Sus scrofa: one gene and its partner. The protein of the gene in region 2 purifies or fractionates together with the protein of the main gene of each other region. This does not show direct contact. Links are inferred from orthologs where the notes say so. Each region holds a gene or a part of one and is shown on either strand. Other genes may lie near its edges.

The links.
Region 1: the proteins of OTUB1 (region 2) and UBE2E3 purify together in Homo sapiens (affinity purification with mass spectrometry; 3 studies listed by BioGRID and IntAct, counting the BioPlex papers as one, with this or other methods). This does not show direct contact. The link is inferred for Sus scrofa from reciprocal best matches to the Homo sapiens genes OTUB1 and UBE2E3.

Annotation. Positions count from the first base shown.
Region 1 is NC_010457.5:86,469,606-86,473,735, reverse strand, and holds the start of UBE2E3 (ubiquitin-conjugating enzyme E2 E3), read right to left. Parts: upstream 2,825-4,130; 5' UTR 2,241-2,824; intron 2,114-2,240; exon of another isoform or gene 1,646-2,113; intron 1,210-1,645; 5' UTR 1,185-1,209; coding exon 991-1,184; intron 1-990. UniProt on the Homo sapiens protein: Accepts ubiquitin from the E1 complex and catalyzes its covalent attachment to other proteins. In vitro catalyzes 'Lys-11'- and 'Lys-48'-, as well as 'Lys-63'-linked polyubiquitination.
Region 2 is NC_010444.4:8,087,891-8,090,300, forward strand, and holds the end of OTUB1 (ubiquitin thioesterase OTUB1), read right to left. Parts: intron 1,809-2,410; coding exon 1,690-1,808; intron 1,501-1,689; coding exon 1,416-1,500; intron 1,320-1,415; coding exon 1,125-1,319; intron 994-1,124; coding exon 796-993; 3' UTR 638-795; downstream 1-637. UniProt on the Homo sapiens protein: Hydrolase that can specifically remove 'Lys-48'-linked conjugated ubiquitin from proteins and plays an important regulatory role at the level of protein turnover by preventing degradation.

The DNA of each region.
Region 1 (4,130 bases), on a different chromosome or scaffold from region 2:
TTACTGACACAACAGTAAAAAATTCATAGAAAATTACTACAGCATGCCAACATTTGATCAGCTTTTATATTTTCTTTTTCTTTTGGTTGTGATAAAAAAATGAACAAAATGTCGATACTGCTGAAGGCTGTAGAAACATCTGATGTATAATTCCTAGAATTCATGGATGTTCCACAACTACTACCACTGATGGGAGTCCCATTAACAGAATCTTTTTTTCACCATCACAGATAATATTAATCAACAGGAAACAAATGATCTTTCTCTTATATGCAACAAAATATGTTTCTCCTGCTGTTGAGTATTAGCATGTCAAGCATATCCACAAGTTTTAGAGTGGAGAGGCACTATGGCAAAGTTTTCAATCACCAAGTGCCACCTAAAATGTAAATGGCTGCTTTTCAGTTTTATTTGCCCTCACAAGGACACACGAATATAACCACAGCTTAACTACAAAAAGTAATACCTGGGACATATGACTTAAAGTCAGGTTTGTAAAACTGAAAGTGGACTTAGCGCACAGTTTTTAAGTTTGCTTTCAAATATAGCCAAGGAAGGCCTTGAATTTACAAATTTTCTAGCACACATGATTACTTCTGATCATTAAGTTTCATGGAGAGGCACTGCTGATCTCTAGAAGTGTCAATTTCAATGAAGAAGAAAATGACTCATAAAAAGGAAATATCCTCAATGTACCAGTTAATTTGAGTTGACCAAATTTTCCTTGCCAACTCCTTAAACAATCTGTCAGAGGTTAATCCAATCTCTCTCCAAGGACACTCTCACTGAAGTTACCAAAGTACAGAACAAGTTTGCTTAAAAGCCTAATTCTAGGGAGGTGGCTTATAGACCATCTAAAGAATGACAACTCATTCAAGTACAAATAAAACTGATCAAGAAGGAAGTATTTTTCAACTATTGCTACTGATGTAAAACCAACAAAAGTGTCCAACACAGACAACATGCGTAATCCTTTTTTTCACACATTACCTTTTAGCACTAGTGGATAACTTAGCAGTGGTTTTGCTAGAGAGTTTGGTGTTTTTCTTCTGCTGGGTGGCAGAAGGTTTTCTTTCTTCTTGTTCTTCTGGCTCTGGAGCGGCTGGGTCTCGCTGGTCCGCATCTGAACTACCACTGCTGGTGCTGGGGCTCTCATCATCGGACCTTTGCCGATCACTGGACATCTTGGTGAAGTTATTTCTTGGAAAACTTTTCAATAGAAAAGGGAGAAAGGACAGGTAAGTCTATTAAATAAACCAACAGCATTTTCATCTCTTTATCTTCACCTAAAATCGTATTTTAATGAAAAGACTTCAAAAGTGTTCACACTTATCTCGTCGTAAAGCAAGGTTACAGGGGAGGTGATGGGTCTTACAACGCCAGCGTTCAGGGATTTACGAACTCAAGTTAGAAAACCCACTCACATTTTTTTCCATCCCTTGGACAATCTATCAATTGTCTACTTTCTCAGAAGGCATGAAACAGATTTGCCAGGGAACTTAGGCAACGAGCATTAATAACATATGACACACTGTAAATAACAGATCTTGCTGAAAAATGTTAAAAAGTCACTAATAACGTCTAAATATTTACACGCTGACATTGGTCAAAGCTACCAAATTCCCTTTCCAAGAGGAAAACATACCCTGTTAATCGCCCATATGCTTATTTAAGGTGGCGATTCCTCCTCGGTGCACGTAAGCCTTTAAATACAACACTTAGGAATTTAAAAAATCAACTAACAAGCTGCTCTAGCCGTTTCCACGGCCAGCAGGGAAGATTCATCCGGCCAAGACCGAGCTGCCACCCTGGGAAAAGCAAAATTCAAACTGCACCTTCTGCAAAGCTCCCCATGCCATCAAGGTTCCTCGCTCAATTTTTACATCACGGACCGACATTTTGTCCAAAATAACGAAAAAAAAAATCAGAGGAAAAACAAACAAACAAACAAAGCCCCAAGAAGTGCAACAAATTTCCGCGCCCGCGGAGGCGAGCCGCGGCCGGCGGCGCGGCCACGCAGCTCCGCGGCCCTTTGTGGGGAGGGCCGCGCGGGGGCCGCGGGCAGCGCTCGCCGCGCCGGGCGCCAAGTGATGCGAGCAGCCCGGCCGGCCCCGCCGCGGCTCGCGGACACCGGCGGCGCGGGCGCCCGGCGCGAACAAAGCTGCCCGCCCCCGCCCCCTCCCCCACCGCCGCCGCCGCCCCGGCCGCCCCCACGCGGCCCCCCGGCCCCGCCGCCTTACCTCGGCCGCCCGCCCGGCCCGCTCGCGCGCCGCTACGGTGTGGGGGAGGGAGAGAGAAAAAAACCCTTCCTTAAGGAAATGGAGGCAGCTGGGGGGGGGAAAGGGGGGGAGGGAAAAAAAGAAGCCGAGGAGGCTCTGGCCGGGGAGTGTGGAACATTGAAAGTCGGAGGGGGTTGTGCAGTGCCGGGCTCCGGCCGGAGGGTGGCGCCGCCCAGCGCCTTCGGAAAAAAGGGGGGGTGGGAGCTCGGCTGGGCGAGGGCGCGAGCTCCCGGCGAGGCGGAGGGGACGCGGGAGACCCCCGCGCGCTGTGGCCTCCCGCCGCCGCCTCCCGGCTCGGCTCCTCCCGGCCGCGCAGTCAGCAAGTTCCGAGGCGAGCGCGGGGGAGGGGCGGGCGCGGCGGCGGCGCGCGTGCTCGCTCACTGCTTGCCTGGCGAAGGGGCACGCGCCGCCGGCGGGCGCGAGCCTTTCTCGCGCGCTCCCGCGCGCTCTTTCCGCGCCTCCCTTCACCCGGGGGGCGCACGCGTCCGCCCGCGCGCGGCCCGGACAAAGAGCGCGGCGGGGACCCAGCGGGCTGGCCCCTGCCGCCCTTGGCCGCGGAGCGGGTGCCAGAAAAGGCGGGGGCGCGGGCGCCGTCTCGTGGGGCCGCTGTGCCGCGGGGTGGCTTCCGGCCTGAGCCCGCCTCCGGAGCGAGACTGCCCATTGGGCTACCTACCCCGCACGCTGGGCCGGGATCATCCCTGGGGCTGACCTGCAGCCCCACTGCATGTGCAGGGGCCGGCTTGGACCCCAGGGGCCCCAACTTCTGGACTAGCGCCCCGGGTGCGTGGTCGAGAGTCCCCCACTGCCCTAGAAGACTGCAGACTAATGGGTGTCGTTGACGAAGGCGGGCATGCAGGAGGAGGAAAGCTGCCTCTTGCCCCTCGTGTGAGCTAAAAGGGCAACATGGGGTCTTCGGCATCGAGGGAGGAAAAGAGATTTTGAGACTAGTTGACCAGCCTCTGCTTGCTTCTCTTTGGCCCTCAGCATACCAAAGGAGAAGGTGATCCTTCGGGTGCTTTGAAAACTTAAAAATTCAAAACAATTTTTTAAATGTCCCACTCAAGATTGTTTAAGTGAAGAAGGTCATAAACAGGGTTTATACCTGATGCTTTGCTGCGTGGTTCTAGTGAGGTGCATGCTAGAGGCCAGTTCTGGAAAGAGAACCATCTGTGATACTAGGTCAGAATGTCCACCCAGAAAAAAAGCTTCAGGTGGAGATAGTGAAGGTTAGTAGTTTTGTTCTGTCATTCTCTCTTGCAGTCTCCAGGTGGACTGCAGTTTTTGCCCCAGGCACAAAGTAACCAGAAGTACAAAAACTTCCTGTTTGCAGCCCAGACCTTCTCCAGCTCCTGAGAACTTGCTCCAGTGATGGAGCCCCAAAGGAATTTGTGGATTCCTCTCCCACAAATGTCAGGAGCAGGGGTGCTGGGAGAATGTGGAGTTCAGAGCAGGAATGACAATGGCAGAGTCATAACAGATGAACTAGAATTAAAGGGAAAAAGGGGAAAAAAAGGCTGAATGAGCCAACATATTGACTTTTTTTTCCTCCAGAGAGAAAAGTTTTGGTAAAGTGCTGCTTACAAATCTGAAGAGTAAGTTACAGTTCTGTAATTTTCCAAAGACACTGTCATTCGGTGAACCTTTTGGAGAACTATGCCCTAATTGCTGGACACACAAAACTCTCTCATTCAACTAGTGTGTGACTAAAGCCAGGTCTCCCTGCTCTAGAAGCCACCAGTCCAAAAGGAGAGCAAATGTTAAAGTCCACCAAGTTGATAAGAAGGAAAGATATTCTAGTCAGGAAGTCTCCTGTTGAAGAAGGCACCCTGTGTGTGGGGGGGGGGGGAAGAC
Region 2 (2,410 bases):
CCACATGTGCCAGGGGAAGTGAAGAGAGGAAGGCAACGCAGACACCGCGGCCCAAGCAGAGGGGATGCAAAGCAGGCACAGGCAGGGGGTGGTGGGGTGGGGGAAGAACGGGGGCCTGGCCAGCCCCGCTAGACTCCGGGAAGGACAGACTTGAGGACAGCCCTCCCCCGCCCGGAGGGCAGCACCTGGGGTGCACTAGGGTGGCCCAGCTCCTCCGCCTACCCTGAGCCAGGCCGCACCCTCAGGCCAGCCCTCTCCACCATGCAGACCCCTGATGGAGAGCAGGTGGCCGGGGAGGCCAGGGCAGCAGGGCGGAGGCGTGGCCTATGAGGGCAGAGCTGGAAGCCTTGGTGGTCCTGGGGCTCTGGGCCAGTCTCCAAGGAACTTCCAAATTCCCCTGGAAGGCCTGGCTGGCTAAGGAGGGCAGGGGCAGAGGCCTGAAGGGAAGGAAGCAGAGGCCCAATAACCAGGAGGGGTCCCCAAGAGGCCTAGCCCCCTCAAAACTACTCCTGGCGGGGAGGCTTGGGGGTGGACAGGTGGAAGGCTGAGAGGAAGCCACCTGAGGGGGGTGGGGCAGCCAGACAGAGAGCAGCCAGGAGGGCAGCAGCAGAGCAGGGACACGCACACACGCGGCTCACCACCAGCGTCCCCTTTAATAAAACATGGAAGGTCGTGTGACAGGGAAGGGCGTGGGGGGTGAAGTACGACCATTTACAACCACAAAAAAAACCTCTGTACATGTCTAGTGCCTGGCAGAGGGGAGGGCAGGCAGGGCGGCGGCAGGCCGGGCCAGCCCTATTTGTAGAGGATGTCGTAGTGTCCAGGCCGGTAGAGAAGGTAGACCTTGGGCTCGGAGCCCTCGGGGAAGATGTGGGGGTTGGTGGTGCCGCCCTCGCCGCGGTCCATGTACTCCACCTGGATGGAGACGCTGAGCGCCTGGGCCAGCGCGATGATGTGGATGTGGTCGCTCTCCTTGCACATGGGCTCCACCTCCTGCAGCACAGGGGCCGCTCAGGGCCTGGGTCTTGGCGCCTCCGCACCCCCAGCCACCCGGTGCACCCCCGGGCCCCGAGGCTCCCACCCTGAGGCCCCAGTGAGTCTGGGGAGCGGGGAGGGGGCAGCACCTGCTGGCAGAACTCCTTGACGGTCCGCCCACCCTCGATGAAGTGCTCGAAGAACTTGCTCTCGCGCTGCAGGTAGCCCGAGGTGAGCAGCCGCAGGTAGACCACCAGGTAGTCCGAGGTGCTCTGGTCGTTGAAGGAGGCCAGCAGGTCGGCCACTGAGGTCTGCTTCTCCACCTGCTCGATTAGGTCCATGAACTGCCGCCCAAGGGGGACAGAGAGCAAGTGAGGGAGGAGATGGGCCGATGCTGCCTCGGCCAGGCCCCCCGCCCTCCACCCGGCCGAGAGGCTCACCGTGTTGTGGAAATCCTCAATTGTGAATTCGGTGAAGCCCTGGGACACCAGGTCCTCTTTGCTCTTAGCAGACACAGCCTTGAACCTGCAGCCGGGAGGGAAAGAGAGGCTGCGCGGGCTCCTCGGCCAGCAGAGAGGCCAGCTCAGAGGTGGGGGCCCGGGCAGCACGGGAACCGCACCTCCTGGTCCCCAGGAGGATGGAGGGAGCCCCTCGGGCCCTTCCTAGGACCCTGCCCCACCCGCCTCTTTGTGCTCGAGGGCCCGCCCTCCTCACCGCTGCAGCTCCTTGCTGTCATCCAGCAACGCCTCCAAGTGGGAGAAACCGAAAGCACGATAGAAGCAGTTTCCATCAGGCCTGGTCTTGCGGATGTACGAGTACTTTTTGTGGAGGTCCTGCGGAGAGGCAGCCCCCGCCCCACCCGGGCCCATCAACATCAGGCCAGAGCCAGGGCGGGCCGAGGAAACCGCCCTGACGAGGTTGCTCTACAGCAGGTGGCAACTAAGCTCCAAGCAGCCACCTGCCATCCTTGGCTGCTGACTCTGGTGATGCTACCAGGAGCCCCCAAAGCCTCAGGAAACTGACTTCTGGACACATAGGTTGCACGGGTCACCAGCGGCTGGGCAAGTGACTGAGTCCTTGATCAAAGCAGCTTTTCCAGGGAAGGACCTTTCACACTTGGAGAGCTCCAGGGCAGCGTGGTGCCCATGGCACAGCCTGGGGCTGGACACAGCCTCCCTCACCTCCTTCTAAGCTCTACCCCGCCCACCCTCAGGCACTGGCTCCATCTTTTCTGGTTCCCTCCCCAAACTCAGTGAAATTTCTTCTCTGTCTGTTGAACCTCCCTGTAGGAGTCAAGGCCTCACTCCCTCAGCCTAGGCGCCCTCCCCTTCTCCCCGACACCCATCTCATACCTTTTCTGTTCTCTTCAAACCCCCACCCACCTTGACCTTGCTTCCTTTTGGACTGAAGACTTCCCCTGAGAACCCCAGCCCCC